3 linked regions of the Rattus norvegicus genome follow. The protein of the gene in region 3 purifies or fractionates together with the protein of the main gene of each other region. This does not show direct contact. Links are inferred from orthologs where the notes say so. Each region holds a gene or a part of one and is shown on either strand. Other genes may lie near its edges. The genes, in order: Cep97, Ccp110 and Kif24.

Region 1 (6,474 bases), on a different chromosome or scaffold from region 3:
ACAAGGCAGGTGCTCAGTAAAGGCAACTATTATTATAACTCCCTCTAGTCCCCTTCCCAGAAAATAAGATATAGCAATGGTTATTAACATCCAAAATTACAGGGCTGGAGTGATGACTCCGTGGTTAAGAGCACTGACTGCTCTTCCAGGAGACCTGAGTTCAATTCCCAGCAACCATGTGGTGGCTCATAACCATCTGTAATGGGATCCTATGCCCTCTTCTGGTGTGTCTGAGAACAGCTACAGTGTACTCATATAAATTAAAATAAATAAATAAATGTCAAAAAAAGAAACAAAATTACACAGTTCCTGGGTGGCAGACCTTTTTCCCATTCATCATTAAAAATGTACTTAAAAGTTTGGCTGGGGTGGCGGGTAACTCCTTCCCCATCATTCTAGTATTTTATTTACTTTTTCGAGTACGATATAGATTCTTTTGAAGGTGTGTGTTGATACCAATTATAGAAGTAGACACTTTCACTTTTTAGTTTACTTATTTCTATACTTGCCAAGTTTCTTTTTCCCAGAGAACATGTACAGAAAACGACAACAGCAACAACAAAAATCTCAAAAGATAATTACCAAGAAGAAAGCCATTCACCTTCAGATTATTGCCCGCTAAATTCAGCCACTCCAAATGGACGAGGTCCTTCAGCCCTTCCATGCAGCCAATACTATTATGAGGTAAATTTAACACTCGGAGTTGAGTCAGCTTGGCCACACCCATCATCCGAACCAAGCGATTATTAGCCACTGACAACTGTGAAAGGAGAACATTATTATTCCTAGAAACAAAATCTATATCTCCACACATCCTGGTAGATGGTCAAACATTCCCAAATACACAAACCTAACTTATAGTTTACACATAGTATACATATCTATCACCTACAGCTTAACTACTGGAGTCTATTGTTCTAATCAACAAAAGTATAGATAAATTTATATCTGTTGTTATATGGGGTAACCAACTAATGCCTGACCACAAGAAATTCATGTGTGGTCATATAAACCCAGTCAAAAGCCCATGGCAGGGGATGGCATAGCCCTAGAAGCTACTGATGGCTTTTGCTAATGGACAGAATGTACCTATCAATCAGACTCCTAACTGACTGCATAAACACCCACAGAACAATGCGGCCGTCAGCTGTTTTCAGAGAAGCTTCTTTTGCAATAGTTGGTGGTGTCTGCAGAGACTCATAACTGGTCTCAGTGCTGGAAACAAATATCTGTTAAAATGCACAGCCATAAACGGGACATCTATAACATTGAGGAGGGCAGTGGAAGGTTAGAAAGAATGTAAGGGCAGGAGGAAAGCGGGGAACAGATAGTGCTTTCTGAGTATCACATGGCTGCTGTACTCTGGAACTCAAAGCAGCACGTAAGACTGAGCTCCTCAACAAGCTGGAGGTGTGGAGAGGAGCCTGGAAGGCCATGCCTTCCAAGGATTAATCACTGAGGAATAACAGACAGTGGCTGACAGAGAAGGGAAAGACACTTTCTTCAAGGGGTGTAGCCATGGTGAGGTGTCTACGTTCCCGTAAATGGATTCTCACTCATGTTCCTCATGAAATTCACTTGGTCACAAAAAGAGAGGTGGGAGAGAAGGAGAAGAAAGAGGAGGAGAAAAAGAAGACACGGAAAAACAAGAGAGAAGAGAAGAGAAATGGGATTAGAAGGAGTGGAAGAAATCAAGAGAGGGTAATGTGATGAAAATGATAAAAATATATGTATATACATATCCAGACAAATGAAACGCAGTATCATACACAATCAATGTATGCTTATATATTTCAAAAATACAGATAAAGCTTAATAAGTCTGTTGCCAATTTTTAATGATACTTGTGTGTGGATGGTGTATGTTGGGGTCATTGCATGCGTGTGTGTATATGTTTATGTGTTGCATTCTTGTGTATGGGGGGTGCACATGCCCATCTATATACATACACAGGCTAGAGCAGGACTTTGGGTATCTTCCTCTGTCCCTCTCCACCTTATTGCTTTGAGACAGACTCTCTACTGAACTGCAGGCTCATCATTTTGGCTAAATTGGCTGGCCAGCCAGCTCTGAGGATCTGCCTGCCTCTCCCCTCCAATGACCAGGTTAAATGTATACTACATGCATCGGTGCCCAGCTTTTAGTGTGGGTGCTGGGGATCCAAATTCAAGGCTGTGTGTTTGCAGAGCCAGTGTTCTTACCCACTGAGCTGTCTCCTAAAGATACTCTTTATCTTATCTTTTATTCAACTCGAAAATATTAGCTCTATGAATACTATCGTCATACCATTTCAGTCACAAACAAGGACTATGATAGGTATACTAAAAGGAACCAAATAAGCACTCCCTTTTCCTTTGTTCTGTTTAGGTGTAGTTTAGGGCTTTGAGTATGCTAAGCCTTGGCCTTCAAGTATATCCTCAAGCCCAACATTCCTGGATGAATAAACTCTTTACCCCAATATGACGTTAAAATTAGGTTAACACAGTATTTTGTTTGTTTGTTTCTTTCTTTCTTTCTTTCTTTCTTTTTTTTTTTTGGAGCTGGAGACCGAACCCAGGGCCTTGCGGTTGCTAGGTAAGCACTCTACCACTGAGCTAAATTCCCAACCCCTTAACACAGTATTTTATCAACATATAATGTGCCTTTTAAAAATATGTATTTATGGGGCTGGAGAGATGGCTCAGCAGTTAAGATCACTGACTGCTCTTCCAGAGGTCCTGAGTTCAATTCCCAACAACCATATGGTGGCTCACAGCCATCTGTAATGAAATCTGATGCCCTCTTCTGGTGTCTGAATACAGCTACAGTGTACTCATATACATAAAATAAATAAATATTAAAAAATATGTATTTATTTATGGGAATAGAAGAATGGCTCAGCAGTTAAGAACATAAGTGTGGGGCTGGAGAGATGGCTCAGTGGTTAAGAGCACTGCCTGCTCTTCCAGAGGTCCTGAGTTCAAATGCCAGCAACCACACGGTTTCTACAACCATCTGTAGAAAATGAGATCTGATGCCCTCTTCTGGTGTGTCTGAAGACAGTTATAGTGTACTTATATATAATAAATAAATGAATAAATCAATAAAAAAACAAACATAAATGCTGCTCTTCCAGAATATCAGTTTAGTTCTTAGCACCAAGTCAGGTGCCTCACAACCATCTGTAGTTAACTCCAACTCCAAAGAATCTGATCTCCTCTTCTGGCCTCTGCATGTACTCATACTCATGTTGCATATATTCATACAGATATACAGAAAGATACAGCTATAAAGAGTGAAATAAATAAGAAATTTAAAATATGTGTACAGAGAGCAAGAGCATGCAGACGCATGCATGCACAGACATTTGCAAGAGCACACATGCAAACATCACAGGCATCGTCTCAAAAGTCGGTCAGTTCTCTCCTACCTGTGGCAGGGAGCAAACCTAGGTCTTCAGACCTTTACATAAGCACTCCTACCTGCTGAGGTGTCTTTTTTTTTTTTTAAGATTTATTTATTTATTATATATAAGTACACTGTAGCTGTCTTCAGACACACCAGAAGAGGGCATCAGGTCTCATTACAGATGGCTGTGAGCCACCATGTGGTTGTTGGGAATTGAACTCAGGACCTCTGGAAGAGCAGTCAGTACTCTTAACCACTGAGCCATCTCTCCAGCCCCCCTGCTGAGCTGTCTTGCCAGCCCTGTTTTCATTTTTTAATAATGCTTCTCTTTCTAGTCCATTGTAAGTGTAACACATGTATTCACCTTCAGAAGCTAGCATACAAAACTTGAAGGCGACACTTACTGCTTTCCAGGCATGTAGAGTGTGACTTTTTGGATTTGTTTAGAAATAAATGAGTCTTATATAACCCATACTCACCTGTATTAACTGTTTGCATTTCTCCAGATTTTCCAGTTTTATAATCTGATTTTTATCCAGAATCAATGTGTGAACATCAGCATCACAGGGCAAGTTGGCCCCTAATTTCTGCAGTCCCTGCCCTGACCAGTTTACCACTGATCCTTGAAAAGAGAAAACATCTTGTTAGAAAGCAAATCTGAGGACTGAGCTTAGCATTTCACACTGAGGGGAAAAACATGTAAACACATTTAAAACTACACCACAGCACAAGAAGTATCAAAAGTTTAAACGTACAATAATCCAGAGCTCTAATGCCACATTTTTTTTTCAAATTTATGAATTACTGGGAGCCTTTGCATGCAAGCCCTAAGTGCACTCTAGTATTTAATAATAAGCATTCAGAAAACAGGATTGATGTTTCTTTTGAGGTATTTGGTGTTTTGATTTCTGGGTTTTTTTCTGGGATTTATTTTAATTTTCTGAGACAGGGTTTCTAGGAGTTTCACTGTTTGTCCTGGAACTCGTTCTGTAGACCAGGCTGGCCTCAAACTTAGAGATCTGCCAGCTCTCTCCCTAGTGCTGGGACTAAAGTGAAGAGACAAACGGCAGCTCACTCTTGCCTCTGCACTGAGTTCCCAGCACCGACTTAAACAACCAGCACAATCCCCTGGTGCAGATGTCTCCTGTCTTTGAAGGAGGCAGAAAATTAATGCCCTTAAAGTGATAAGACCTCCACTCTTAATCTATGGGAAAGACAACCAAGGGCTCCCAGACAAGCTGTAGCCAGCTTGTAAAAATACACTGGTCACTGATAATGAAATGAATCATTTCTTCCCACGTCAGAAAAGTCCTTTTCCAGATGTATGGTCCCTTCTTGCTGTCTGAACAAACGTTATCAGTTTGAAAGGATAGCATTCCTTTAGCCCTCACCCTCTTGAAAGCCCCAGCCTATGCATTTCCCATATATAAACCCCAAACCTGGGCGTCCCATTCCTAACCTGCCAAGCAGGGAAGGTTGCATCCCAATTTTGAACTCTTGTGTGTTTACATGGGTGGTGTCCTGATCTCTGGCGGTCTCCTGGGGTTCTCAAGAACTGGGCATAACAAAAGCGGGTGCCACCACCTCAAGGCTTATTTCCCCCTTTTTTTAATCTTTCAATCTTTTGTTTTGGATTGGTTTTGGTTGTTGTTGTTTGGGGTTTTTGTTTTGTTTTGTTTTATCTTTTGCTGTTGTTTTCAGACAAGGTCTGATGCTGGCGAGGCTAGCATAAACTCTCTATGTATCCAAGGCTAAATTTGAACTCCTGATCTTCTTTCCCTCAACTCCCAAATACTGGAATTAAAGCTATCATCGCACCAGGTCCTAAAACTTTTTTTTTTATAGAAATCAAAATGTTTATAACCTAACTATATTTTCAAGAGCCCAACACTGTGTATATGGGGACTGGGGTCAGTGCATGTCACACATGCCCAGGGAAGCCAGAGGAGAATGCTGGGTGTCCTGTTCTGTAAATCTTTCTTTACACACTCTCTCACTGAACCTGAAAGCCTAGTGCTAGACTGGAAGTCAGCAAGCCTCCAAAGTACTAGGTGCTGGGGCTTTTCCCATGGATTCTGGGGGTTTGAACTCCAGTCTGAATGCTGTCCCTGTAACCGCTCTTACCCACTGAGCCGTCTCTACAGCCCTCACTTTGTTTTTTGAGGCAGGGTCTCTCACTGACCTGGAGCTCATAAGTAGAGTAGGCTGGTTGGCCAACAAGTCCCAAGAATCTGCCTATACTCACCTTCCCAGCACTTGAGATTATAAGCTCCTGCCACCACGTTGGGTCTTTTACCTGGGTTTGAGGATTGAACTTGGTTCCTCGTGCTTGTACAGCGAGCACTGTGCCAACTAAACTATCTCCCCGCCACTTTGAAGTACTTTTGAAAATCACAGTATAGTTAATTGATGGAATAAAATGATTTTGATTTCACAAGGTTGCAGGCAGCGCTCAATAAAACACCTATAGCACAAATTCAGACTATAGCTCCCCTGGCTAACCACTATGGACAAGTTTCCTTCTCTTTTTCTCATTTATTTCCTTCTCCGAAAGTCCCCCAAATTAAGGGGTTGGCAGGTTTGGTAACTGAGACCCCTCTCCTAAAGGCTGACTGCCTCCCCGATGTGTCCACCCACGTCTTTCCTCTAAGTCACTCTCTTAGCCTCAATGGTCACTCTCTTAGCCTCTCCCCCTCCATTTCCTCTGGGGTAACTTTTCTACTCCACTAGACATAGATGACAGTCAGGTGATGTTTAAAGCACCAGCACATCTTCAATTTCGAGGCCAGCTTCATGTATATAGTGAATTCTGGGGAAACCAGAGCTATAGATTGATACCCTGTCTCAAAACAAAACAGCTATGCAGTGGTGGCAAGCGCCTTTAATTCTAGCACTTGGGAGGCCACTTGAGAGACAAAAGCATCTCTGTGAGTTGGAGGCCAGACTAGTTTATTGAATGAGTTCCAGGACAGCCAGGGCTACACAGAGAAACTCTGTCTTGAAAAACGACCAAAAAAAAAAAAAAAAAAAAAAGTGAATGAGCCACGTGTACACCTCACACCTTTAATCAGAGCATTGAGGAGGCAA
Region 2 (6,474 bases), on a different chromosome or scaffold from region 3:
AAATAACATCTTTCCCCCTTTACAGACTATAGGAAGTTTATGTATTTGTTGAAACTTGTAAGCAGCCAGCTTGGAAGCTGTGTTACCTTGGCGTTTCCTTTCAGTCTTGTTTCTGAGTACTGGTTATGAATGAGCAGACGGGAGCCATGAGGCTATAGGGTTTGCCAAGAGGCTCTCTGGACAAAGGTCACTTGTAATTAGCTTTAAATGGAGTGGAAAAGGCATGCTTGGACCTGCTGAGGCTGGTATGAATGTAAGTGGACCATGGACCAGTAATGCCTGATGCTAAAGTATGGGGCAGTAGGTTTGTAGTTGGGATCACCTTGTCATCAAGGCTCCCTTAAAATAAACTTGGTGTGAGAAACGTAGTGCCCTCTTGCACAATCGTAGAATCCGGACTCTCTTTAATGACTACTTTTGCAACTGAGAGGTCCCTGGTTCTTTGGGAATAGAGCTGTTCTCCAAGTTGCCAGTCTCGGAATTCTCTTCATTCTGCTAGTCTTGCTTTGCATTGCTTGATCTGTTTGCCCTAATTAATTTATTCAGTAATTGTATTAGGCGCCTGCTGTGTGCTGACACCATTCTGTGCCATGGGACTCAGTGAGCAAGACTGAGAAGGACCTGTTCTATGGAGCTTACGCTTCGGTGGGAGAAGACACACAAAACTCACGGCAGTACAGGAGGCCATTTCAGATAGTGGTAAGTACTGTGGAAACTGGGAAATGTCAGAGGGGTATGATAGTGATGCAGGCGGGGGAATTAGGATGGGGTGATTAGAGAGCGCCTCTTTGAGGACAGGACATGTAAGCTGAAACTTAAGGCTAGGAAGATCCAGTCATGCTCTAGACCATCTGGAGCTTTCTCCAGTCTCACATGAGCACCGGAGTTTCAATGTCCAGTTCATTGTCGTGCTGTGCGTTACCTCTGTTGTGGACTTTGCAGTGTCTAGCGGTATGCGTGGCCCGCTCAAGTGAAGCGGATAATTTCCTGCAACAATGAGACCTTTCTCTACGATGCTGTTAGAAGAAAAGTAGAACTAATGAAGGCAGTTTATGGCCTTTTCTCTCCCAGACTTTTGAGTTTCTTTCTTTTTTGTGCACAAGCACAGAAATTATATAACATCATTTTTAATAGTAAATACAAAAGATGTATTTTTTTTCTTTCTTTTCTTTTTGTTTTCGGAGCTGGGGACCGAACCCAGGGCCTTGTGCTTGCTAGGCAAGCGCTCTACCACTGAGCTAAACCCCCAACCCCAAGATGTATTTTTAAAAAGTAGCAGAAATGGATTTATTGAGATTTTTCTTCTCATCTTTTGGCAATTTTGGTTAAGATACTGTGATGTGAGTTGTTACAGTTGTGCCAGAAAGTGTTTTGTTGCTTCTTAGTCTTGTGTTTAAAAAGTGAATGTCAGCTTCAAAACGATCTCAGCTCTGGAGAGAACCAGTTATTTATTTATTTATTTTTTTAAAGATTTATTTATTTTAGTTACATGAGTACTCTGTAGCTATCTTCAGACACATCAGAAGAGGGCATCGGATCCAATTACAGATGGCTGTGAGCCACCATGTGGTTGCTGGGAATTGAACTCAGGACCTCTGGAAGAGCAGTCAGTGCTCTTAACCGCTGAGCCATCTCTCCAGCCCTTTTTTAATTTTTTTTTTTTTTCCGGAGCTGGGGACCGAACCCAGGGCCTTGTGCTTGCTAGTCAAGTGCTCTACCGCTGAGCTAAATCCCCAACCCCCAGAACCAGTTATTTTTTGAAGTTGGATCTTACTGTGCACAAATTGAACAAATATAAGCCACAGAACAGAGAGAAGTTCTGTGGCTCAGCACTGAGGGCTCTTTCTTCATTTCTATCTGTACTTTGGCTTTCCCTTGAAATTTGAATTTATGGATTGTATAACTGTCTTAGAGGCCCAGCAGGCCACCATGTCAGGCCACCATGTCTTATTTCATGTCTGTACAGCTCACCCACATCGTGGGCTTAATTTCCCTCTTCAGTCTTGTTAACTAGTTACTTGCCTTGAATATTTAAGGGATGTTACTGTACTGGACGCTCTCTTCCCACAGTTAACTGGGCCCCTGGCTTGCTATGATTATGATAATGTTCCTTTTGCTATTTTCCCTTGTCTTACAGGAGCAAGGGCTGTACAATGTTATGCAAAACAGGCAATCAGTAAATACTTAGCACATGCTAAAAAGAAGGCTTAGGCTGGCTAATCTTTCTGGTTACCTGGAATTTTCATAATCCCAAAGTTTTCTAGAAATTATGAAATTGCTGGGCTGGTTGTTTGAAGTTGCTTAGTGACCTTTCAGGCTTTCGACTATAAAATAAAGCTAATTAAGAAGATCTCCAGAACTGGGAGATTTTCTGTTTTCACGTCTGCCTAAGTCAGCTGGTATCCACAGCATTAAAACAAAGCCTTCAGATGCAGACAGAAAATTCTTGAAAGTGTTTAAATATTCCAGTACTCTTGGGTAATAACTTGTGTTTTGTCAGCACACTACTAAGAGCAGTTTTCTTTCTCCTAGTGTGTGGTGGGAACATGGAGGAATATGAGAAGTTCTGCGAGAAAGCGCTTGCCCGAGCTCAGGAAGCATCACTGTCCACAGACAGCTTCCTGCCCGCCCAGGCAGAAAGTGTCTCACTCATCCGTTTCCATGGGGTGGCTGTACTTTCTCCACTGGTAAACTTAGTAATTATTTATGAAATATTTCTTCCATTCTTAATCATGTGTACACATGGGTATAGGTGCTGGAAGAGGCTACACGAGTGCTTCAGACCCCCTGGAACTGGAGTAACAGACCACAGAGGAGCTTTGAACTAAGCTTTGGTCCTCTGGAGAGCACTATACTTGAAACTGGAGTCATTTTTCCAGCTCCCTTGTTTGTTTTAAAATAACTTTTAAAATCTAGTGAACAACTAATACAGCTCACTTAAGATCAAATGGAAGATTTATAAGCAACTGATGAGATGCCTGATGTTTTTCATAATTAGAAATACAATAGAAACGAGTTAGCATTTTTTTGCCTACTAGATTTGCAACGGTCTCCTAGGACTTTGTGTTTTCATGTTGTGAGGAAAATGAATGTTTAATGTACTTTTATCAAGAAGGTCTGTTTATTTTTTGGCAAGCTGTTTGGTAGTGTTCATCAAAATTTAAGTGTTTGTAACTCTTGACTCAGCAATTCTATTCAGGAAGAATAGCTTACAAATGTGTTCAAATAAATGTGTGTAAGTTATAGCATCATCACTTAAAGTAGCAAATGATTAGTGGGTGTGCTGCCTTTAATTTTAGCACTTGGGAGGCAGATCTCTGTGAGTTTGAGGCCAGCCTGGTTTACAAAGTGAGTTCCAGGACAGCCAGGGCTGTTACACAGAGAAACCCTGTCTGGAAAACAAAAAAGAAAATATAATAGTAAAAGAGATGAATTACCAACCCAAGTGTCCATTAATAATGGACTTTAGCTATGTCCATTGTACACATTTCATGTACCCATGCAAGTGAATAAGGTAGCTCTATAGTACGAGCATGGAAGGCTGCCCTGCCCTGCCTCACATCACACAGTGAGATTTCAGAGGCAGCTGGGAGTGTGGAACCTCGGCCTGGCTTTCAGTCAGTTTGCCGTTGTCCTGCTGTGCAGAGCTTGTGGTCTGTTTCGTTAACTGTTAGAATGGAATGCAGACAGTGAGTGTCGATAATGCTTAGATTGCTTTTCAGGAATTACACGGATAATGTAAGATGCTTAGGCTCGTGCCTGGGTCATAGGTGGCACTCGGGGTATACACATGTTCACCATTTACAGTTTTTAAAAGAGAGTGGTATTGTTCTGGCAAGGGGTAAGAGAATAGAGGACAGTAGAGAAGATACATTTATCATCATACTCAATTTGATGTTATTTTTTAAGTGTGACTATATTTTAAACCAGAAAGTTAGAGAACTCTTAAATTTATTTTTGTTGTGTAAGCATTAAAAGGTCCACGTTTTCTGCCAGCACATTGTAATGAATGTTGTAGCAGTGTTTGGAAGGTAACACAGTACCACCCATCCCCCACCACTCAGTTCACTCTAAGGTGACATCTTTGGACACATCCTAAAGGATGTAGAGAAGTGACGTGTAGTGATAAAGATAGAAGCTGGAGACTGGGGTGAGGCTCACGTTAACCACTATCAGGTAAAAACTTCAGTAGCAGCAGCTCCTGAAGTCCTTTTGTCTGCCATTTAGTATTTGAGACATGACCTTGATGCAGTTGGCAGTGAGCTAGATTCAGTGATATGCAATGGTCATGTGTGATAGCTCCTGGAATCTTCATAATAGGTTACTTCTGCATGACACTCACTCACATGGAGTCCTCGAACCCCAGACACTGCTCAGATTCTTCATACACGGTTTTGGTTGTTCTGATTAAAAACTGGCCAATTTTATTCTTTTACCATTGAATTGCGTGTTTATGGTGTCTTGCAGCTTACCATTGAGAAGAGAGAGAAAATTCAACAGGAAAAGCAGAAAGCACTTGATGTGCAAACAAGAAAGCAGGCCAATAGGAAGAAAGCCTTACTGACGCGTGTCCAGGAAATTCTTGAAAATGTTCAGGTGTGTCATCAAACTAAACTCTTCTAGATTGAAATGATGATATCAGAAGTAAACACTGATAACAGCTTTGCAGAAAAGCTGGCTACGTGTGCTTATTGTTATGATGTGTTTGAGTATAATTTGTTGGAGAGAATCCATTTGTTTGCTAGTACTGCCCAGTACTTGAATCAGAGAGGGTCCTTAGACAGTAGCACTATACACTGGATATAATTGCTTATTGTCTGCCTCGTGACTACAAACTGAATTCTCAGTGTCAGAGATGATAGAATTGTCCATTGTAGTTAACCCCTGAACTAATCAGACTCAGTTTCTGATGTGAGCCTCATCCCAGCCTCCAGCTTCTACCCTCATCACTACATGTCACTTCTCTACATCCTTTAGGATGTGTCCAAAGATGTCACCTTAGAGTGGACTGAGTGGTGAGGGATGGGTGGTACTGTGTTACCGTCTTCTTATTCTCTGCTAAAGTAAATAACTGCCTTCAAATGTGTGTATGTATGTATGTATGTGTGTATACATGTATGAAAATTTTGTTTTTAGGTGTTGAAAAATGCCATCTAGATTAAACAAAGAGGCTGGACTACATAGGTCTCCAGATTGAAACTGAAATCATTTAAACAACTATATCTATACCTTTTGTAATCATTTTATTTAAATTAATTCAGATTTGTGTAAACAGTTTGTTTATGGTTTGGGTCATTTCATACTAAAAAGAAACACCAATGGTTTAAGTGGGAAAAATAATTTCTGCCATGCATAACACTTGTGCTTTTTTGTAATTTGAAGGGCTTGTAGTTTGCCTGTGTGACTCCTGCTGTGTGGCTATGGGTAGTAAGCCTTAGGGTATTTGTAGTAACTGCTGCCTTCATTTACCTGTAGGGTCTTATGTAGTGTGGGTGTAGATTTTAATTTGCACATTTTAACTAATGTCTATATTGGTTAATACACCGTAGTTTATTGACTTACTGGTTACTACAACAAAAATGGCAGTGTTCTGGATCTAGTCCATGGAGAGGATCAAATTGCTATTAGCAGAGTCTACTAATGAAATTACTCTTGAGTCTCAGAACTTTCTGTTTAGGAAAGCATACATAATTCAGCTATAAGAATTCCTTATATAGACAGGGATTTCATGGACTACAGATATTTAGAGGGCCTCTTTCCTCTATGATATCTTTGACTCAGTTATAGACTTAAGTTTTTAAATTTAGTTTGTCTAACCGAAGGCACATTTTACTTGTGTACTACAAACATAGCTATTGAGTATTAAAGATGTGAATATGTAAGATTCTACAGCAGAATGATCTAGATCGCTTAAGCCTGGGAGCATGTCCATGGACCCTAGGAGTATGCACTCCTTTTGGCTTATTTTCATCCAGAGGTTGTCACCAAGTACACTTGTATTGTTTATGGCACAGTACCTGGAGACCATTATGTGCCTTGGGACTTATATGGTGAAACTCAAGTGCCATATAGTCTAGCAAAACAAAACAAAACAAAGCAAAAGCCTATGAAAACAACCCCTCCAGATGTTTTGTATTCAGGATGTAATGAGCTCTCACTTTTTCCTGCTCGGTCTCTGAGGCACACAGGTATTCTCACCCTACTGTGTCAGCTGCTGACCTACTTGTCTGAAAACATACAGCTTGCTGTCTTAACTGACTCTCACTGCTCTGATTAAAGTTGGCTTTGTAAGCTGAGTTCTAAGTTGAAATTTTCTAATTTTTAGTAACATAAACCACAGGAAGAACTATTGTTTACTCCAGAAATGCCCCGTCTTATGGGGAGGATTGTTTTTAAGTCAGCACATTTTCTTTTTCCAGTTGGTAGACACAGAGGGTTCACAGAAAGATCCTCTGCAAAGTAGAGACAAGGTGG
Region 3 (6,928 bases):
TCTTTTTGAAGTGAGTTGAATTTGAAGGGCTATAGACTACCCACAAGATAAACGAAAACTGGGTCTGAAGTTTAGCGACATCTCATTCTTCTATCCCTAAATTGAATATTTTATATTAGAAAAAGATTTGTCTTTATCATAGATATTCCAACAACCCATGTGCTAACTAGTTCTATGTCAACCTGACACAAGCTAGACTCACTGGAGAGGAGGGAGCCTCAGTTTAGAAAATGTTTCTGAGATTGGGCTGTGGGCAAACCTATAGGACACTTTCTTAGTGGTTGATGTGGAAGGGCCCAGCCCACTGTGGGCGGGGCCATCCCTGGCCTGGTGGTCCTGGGTTCTGTAAGAAGGTAGGCCGAGCAAGCCACAAGGAGCAAGCCAGTCAGCAGCCCTCCTTCATGAAGATCCCTGCATCTGCACCTTTCTCCACGTCCCTCCTGTCCTGACTTCTTTTTCTTTTTTCTTTTTTTCGGAGCTGGGGACCGAACCCAGGGCCTTGTGCTCGCTAGGCAAGCGCTCTACCGCTGAGCTAAATCCCCAACCCATGACTTCTTTTGATGATAAACAGAGATAGGATGAGTAAGCCAAATAAACCCTTTCTTCCTCAAGTTGCTCTCGGTCACTGTCTCATCACAGCAGTAGAGACCTTCACTAAGACAAGCCATTTTCATTGAATGTGGGTACATTTGCCTTTCTAACCACCCCTTTTCAATCTGGTATTCCAAATATTTTCACCCTCTTCCAGTTCACAACCATAGGAAACCATAGTTGACACTGCTGTGAAAGAAACTTGGCTACTAAATTCAGGTTGTTACCTGAAAGACACATCATTGCTTGCAAAGTGACTTTAACATCTATTTCTCATTGTTGAGAGTTTAAAATAAAGTGTGTATATACAGAGATACAGAATATACGTCAGTCACTCTTATCTTATAATAAGCCAACTGAATGCTTATCTGCATTTTACAGGCACTCAACTCTTTTTTTTCATATATATATTTTATTTCATATATATATATATTAATGTATGAGTGCTCTGATGCATATATACCTACATGCCAGAAGAGGGCATCAGATCTCATTACAGATGGTTGTGAGCCACCATGTGGTTGCTGGGAATTGAACTCAGGACCTCTGGAAGAGCAGTCAGTGCTCTTAACCACCGAGCTATCTCTCCAGCCCTCAACTCTTATTAATAGTTAAAATTAAGAATTTTGCCCCCTCTGTGTAACAGTCCTGTATATCCTGGAACTTACGTTTTAGACCACGCAGTCCTAAAACTCACAAGAGATCCTCCTGCCTCTGCTCCCGAATGCTGAGACTAAAGGCATGCGCTGCCACACGCAGCAAATCAAGAAATGTCTATCATTTTTATATTTTCTGTGAAACAGCTGATAAACAGCGCTCACGATAATTATTAGTAATTTTTAAAGATCAACAAGATTAATTCCTTTTACTATATTGTCTATTTTCTACTCTTTTGAATTCTGAATTTATTTCTTAGTAAGAATTATCTTTATTCTCTGATTAGTGATTTATTTTTGTTTATGTCTGTGTGTCTGCCAGTTGTGTGTATGTGGGTGCCTGAGGAGAGCCAGGGATCACCTGGAGCAGGAGTCAGAAGCAATTGTGAGCCACTTGACATGGGTGCTGGGAAATGAACTCAAAGTTCTCTGGAAGAGAAGCAAGGGCTCATAACCACTGAACCATCTCTCCAGCCCCCGAATGGTTAATTTTTGAGCTAAAATGAGCACTATGTTAAAGCACACACGAAGCTGCACACATCCTGGCTAGTGTACTTGCTCCCACCATGCTGGTGGTACCTTTTTACCTGAGAAGCTAGGACCTGCCAAGCATTCTTTTCACTTTGTCTTCTTTACAACCTGTTGACGCATTACTATCATTTTTCAGAAAAGCGAAAATGAGCTATGGTTCAGAAATATTTTGGGGTAGTTAATCAAACGCAGGCATGTCCAATTTCTAAGCTTAATCGCCACTGGATATGATGCATTTTGCGTTGGCAACTTGACGGTTCTCGATTTAAGCTGTTTGGCCTTTTTTCCCCCCTTTAGAGCACCTGCCACTCTTCCAAAGGACTGGGGTTCGGTTCCCAGGAACCTAAAGCAGGTGGCTCACAACCGCGTTTAACTCGAATTTCTGGGATCCGACGCCTTCTGGCTTCTGCATGAACGTGGGACGCATAACTGACGCAGACAGACAGACACACACATACACACACAAACAAACAAGGAAAGTTTTTTTGTTTTTTTTGTTTTGTTTTGTTTTGTTTTTTACAAAACGTAAGATCTCTTGGAATGCAGGTAGGGTTTAATCGATAACTACGAAGCAGTACAGAGGCCTAGGGAGAAGGTATGATTGGCCCGCTAAGTCCCAAAGCTGGACCTCTCTGCCTCTGGAATTCTTCCGACGCACGCCATCACCACTAAACCTTGTTCTCTCAGGTGCAGAGAGATAAACCGAGGTCCTGCGAGTGGATAGGGCCTGCCTGGCCTGCCTACACCCGCCTCAATGCCAGCTCCGTTCCCGCAGCAACAGATCAAGAGCACACGACATTCCCCACGCCCCCAGCCCCACTGCACTCACCCGCAGCACGAAGGCAGGAGGCAGGAGGCGGTTCTCGAAAGGAGACAAAGCGCGCCAGCCAATCAGAAGAGCCCGGCTGCACTTCAGGCGAGCCACGGGATTGGGCATCAGGCGCTGCCACCCGCCTCTGAGGCGCGGTTTTCTGACTGGGAACGTCGCGAGATCTTCCCCAAGCGGAACCATTGGACCGCCCCTGTCTCTTCTGATCTCTGATTGGCCCTTTAGAGGAGAGGGTGATAGGCCCTGTGAATGACCATTGGCGGGTTCTGCGGGACCGCAGGCGGGCGGGCGACAGCGCGCGCGTTCGAACTGGCGCTTGGTGGCGTTGCCATAGAGATGTGGCCTGGCGGACTCCTTAGGCGGGTTGACGGGACGCTCTGCTAGCCCGGCTTAGGGCTTTCTCCTGACGGCACTAATTCTTCCGTCCTCCGAGAAACTGACTGAGGAGGAGCCGGGAAGGCCCTGAGGTGAGACACGGTGGCTTTGGCTTGAGCCCAAGCCCTGCGCCTGCGAGGGAAAGGGTGCGCTTGTCTCAGAGTAGCGTGTGTCGAGACCGGTATTTGCCGGGTAACTAGAGCTTGGCTTCTCGGATTCTTCGAGGGTTCACGCACTCTCCTATTTCGTCTCCCCGTCTGCGGTTTCTCCAGCAGTTACCTCGAACGCCACCATTCTTGAGGCCTTTCTGAATCCCCAAAGGCCCCTTGCCTTTGAAACATGCTCTTCAGAGCTAGCCTGAATTCGACTTTGGGTTGTTTTTGTGAACTTCCGGAAACCTCATTCTTCTTTTCCTCATTTAATTTTGACCTCTGAGATAAGACAAGCCTTTCCGCAATGCCTTACGCATAGTAGTTTTTTTTTTTTTTAAAGGAAAGTTCAGTTGGCTTTAACTCACTACGAATAGAATCGATTATCTTTTGTGTCTTGTTCTATTCAAACAATTTGGGAGCAGGTGGAAGAGAGGACACCCTAATCTCATATACAAAAAAGCTAGAAAATTCAGCGTTGGCAGCCCCACAATCGGAGCAGGAAGCCCTGCTTGCTTACTGTGGATGACAGTATTCTCTAGGCTGGGAATTCTGGACAGTAGTAAGAGTAGAGAAGGCGAGCTGACCACTAGCATACTGACATTAATTCATTGTTTACTGCTTTTATTATTTTAATTTTTGTGTGTGGGGTTATTTGTTTGGAGACAAAGTTAGATGTGACTATCCTGGAACTCTATGTTTAGAAAGGTAAAATTGTAACTTGGTTGCTACACCTCTTCCCCACATTGTAGTCTGGCCTAAAAATACCTCTTATCAGACCCCTAAATATATTTGCTTAAAACAGACCATTCTGTTGTTATATGCCAGTGTTATTTAGTGACCTCCAACTATCGTCACATTTTATCTGTGCTTTGGAAAATGAAATCAGTTATTTGACTTTGAGGGTTTTTTTTTTCCACTTAGCATTGTGTGTGTGTGTGTGTGTGTGTGTGTGTGTGTGTGTGTGTGTGAGAGAGAGAGAGAGAGGGGGGGGGGGAGAGAGAGAGAGAGAGAGAGAGAGAGAGAGAGAATATCTCATTCATGAGATTCATGAGCACGCAGCTTGTTTAGGCTGCTGCACTGCATATTCCAGGATATTTCTGTAACCCCCTCCCCCACTTCTCCCTAGGAGTGCTGGGGTTACAGATGTGTGATACCACATGTGACCTTTAATGGGGTTCTAGGCATTGAACTTAGATCATTAGGCTTATAGGTTTTGTGCATTTACCTACCAAGGTATTTCCTTGGCCTTGGCTTTTTTTTTTTTATAAATGTTATGTGTATGAGTGTTTTGCCTGTATTTATGTATACCTTGTGTGTGTGTGGTATGAAGGAAGCCAAAAGAGGGTTGGGTTCCCTGCAAGTGTAGATATAGACAGTTGTGAGACACCATGTGGGTGCTGGGAAAAGAACCCAGGTCCTTTGAAAGAACAGCCAGTGCTCTTAAAGGCTAAGCCATCTCTCCAGCTCCATTTTTTAAAAAAACTTTTTTGGGGATAGCATTTTACATTGTAGGAACATGCAATAATAATCCTGTTTCAGCTTCCTGAGTGCTGGAATTATAAATATAAGCCAACACACTCACTTTGGAAAATTTTTAAAACCTTTTATTATTTGTTTTATTTGTTGTTGTGTGTCTGTGTATGAACAGAGGATGGCTTTTGGGGAGTAGGTTCTCCTTTCCAGATTTATTTGGGTCATCAGACTTGGCAGAAAGTGCCTTTATCTGTTGAGCCCTCTTGCCTGCCTTTAAGACATTTTTTCTTTGCATTTATATTCTGCAGAGACAATTTTGTGACCATTCTCTTCAGAACATATTAACAGCTCAGCCTCTGACCATTCATCAGATATCCAGAATCCTGCTTCATTTCCAAGACTATTTCATTGTTGACTTGTGGCCTGTACAGTCACAATATTATTGCTGATTATTCTTTCTTATATGAAATTCATAGTTCAGAGTTAACATTAATGAAAAGATTCAAAATGTTGCCAGGCAGTAGTGGCTCATGCCTTTAATCCCAGCGCTTGAGAGGCAGAGGCAGGCAGATCTTGGATTTCAAGGCCAACCTGGTCTACAGAGTGAGTTCTAGGACAGCCAGGGATACACAGAGAAACCTTGCCTCAAACAACAAAATGTCAAGTATAGCAGCTGTTGTGATTTAGATATTGTGATGTTTAATGCTAATTGTCAACTTGACAAAACAGAACCACGTGGGAAAAACTGATGTCTGTGGAAGATTGACTTGTATTAACTGAGGTGGGAAGACCTGCTCACTGTGGATGTCCTAGGCAGGGGATTCTGGACAGTCTAAGAGTGGAGAAAGCAAGCTGATCACTACTGTCTTAAGTTAGGGTTTACTGCTGTGAGCAGACACCATGACAAAGGCAACTCTTACAAGGACAGCTGGCTCACAGGTTCAGAGGTTCAGTCCATTATCATCAAGGCAGGAGCATGGCAGCATCCAGGCAGACATGGTGCAGGAGGAGCTGAGAGGTTGGTATTTTGTTTTCTGTATAATGAAGGGTTGAATTTTTCTCATATTTCTTCATCTAGTGTCTATGAGGTATTTACCTAGTTTCTCCATGTAGACTTAGCAAATTTGTTCAAACTTTGTGTACTGTAGGTTAACAAGTTTTGTTAAGTGAGGCTGGGAATGTGGTAGTGCACACCTTTAATCCCAGCACTCTGGAGACAGGCTGGGATTAAAGGTGTGCACTAATAATCTCTGTGTTCAAGGCCAATTTGGCTTATATAGTGAGTTCCAGGCCATTAGGGCTACATAAGACCCTGTGTTAAAACACAAACACACACATAAACTCACTATGTGGACTGGCCTTGAATTTACAGATATCTGCCTACCTGTACCTCTGGACTACTGGGACTAAAGATGTGCACTACCACTCCCGACTGAGGTTATTTTTAAATTATGCTTTCTCAGCATCATCCCTGTGTGAGTAATGCCTGATTCCATAGGAACAACTGTTTCCAAAGGAGTTTGACTATGACTGAAATCATAGTAGCTTGGAAATTTATTTGTTTGTTTATTTTGGCTTTTCAAGACATGTTTCTCTGTTAGCCCTGGCAGTCCTGGAACTTAACATTATAGACCAGGCTTGCCTCAAACATACATTCATCTGCCTCTGCCTCCTGAGTGTGTGCACCACTACTGCCCAGCCAGCTTGGGAATTTATAAAGACTGATTGTAGCCATTATTTTTCTAGGTAAACACATGAGATATGGTTTGTTGACATGGTTTTATGGCTGCAAACTGGCAAAAAAATCTTTAAGTGACAACTTCCTGAGATTGAACTAAACTAAAATTTTAAAAATAAAAATAAACCACTGCATTTAAACCCAACATTGGTTGCTACTTGTCCCTATATTAAACCTTAGTATTTAGAATAGTAGGCCTGTGTTGACTTAAGATGACTGGGTTCAGCAATTTTGTTAGATTTATTTTTAGGTGATTAACATGAAACTAACTTTTTTTAAATTTGCAAACAATCTCAAAGGTCTTTTTTCTTTCTTTCTTTCTTTCTTTCTTTCTTTCTTTCTTTCTTTCTTTCTTTCTTTCTTTCTTTCTTTCTGTTTAAAGTAATATGGCAGTAATAGTGTCCAGAATCCACCACCCCTAACCGTAGGAATTCCATTGAGTACCATCTGTTTTAGTTCTTCTGCAGCTGTTGTTTTAAGCAGTTGTCTCCTGCCCTTTGTCTCTTGTGAAGCTCAGTTACTATAGATAGGATAATCCCTGGAGTTTGAAATAACTAGTTCTCTTGTAGAGAGAAGCATATTC

What was found.
Region 1: the proteins of Kif24 (region 3) and Cep97 purify together in Homo sapiens (co-immunoprecipitation; 4 studies listed by BioGRID and IntAct, with this or other methods). This does not show direct contact. The link is inferred for Rattus norvegicus from reciprocal best matches to the Homo sapiens genes KIF24 and CEP97.
Region 2: the proteins of Kif24 (region 3) and Ccp110 purify together in Homo sapiens (co-immunoprecipitation; 4 studies listed by BioGRID and IntAct, with this or other methods). This does not show direct contact. The link is inferred for Rattus norvegicus from reciprocal best matches to the Homo sapiens genes KIF24 and CCP110.

The regions. Positions count from the first base shown.
Region 1 is NC_086029.1:58,153,896-58,160,369, reverse strand, and holds part of Cep97 (centrosomal protein of 97 kDa), read right to left. Parts: intron 4,010-6,474; coding exon 3,867-4,009; intron 761-3,866; coding exon 602-760; exon of another isoform or gene 598-601; coding exon of another isoform or gene 583-597; intron 1-582. UniProt on the Homo sapiens protein: Acts as a key negative regulator of ciliogenesis in collaboration with CCP110 by capping the mother centriole thereby preventing cilia formation. Required for recruitment of CCP110 to the centrosome.
Region 2 is NC_086019.1:182,477,442-182,483,915, forward strand, and holds part of Ccp110 (centriolar coiled-coil protein of 110 kDa), read left to right. Parts: intron 1-546; exon of another isoform or gene 547-558; 5' UTR 559-699; intron 700-2,532; 5' UTR 2,533-2,546; coding exon 2,547-2,687; intron 2,688-4,467; coding exon 4,468-4,596; intron 4,597-6,474.
Region 3 is NC_086023.1:61,419,891-61,426,818, reverse strand, and holds the start of Kif24 (kinesin-like protein KIF24), read left to right. Parts: upstream 1-2,936; 5' UTR 2,937-3,074; intron 3,075-6,928. UniProt on the Homo sapiens protein: Microtubule-dependent motor protein that acts as a negative regulator of ciliogenesis by mediating recruitment of CCP110 to mother centriole in cycling cells, leading to restrict nucleation of cilia at centrioles.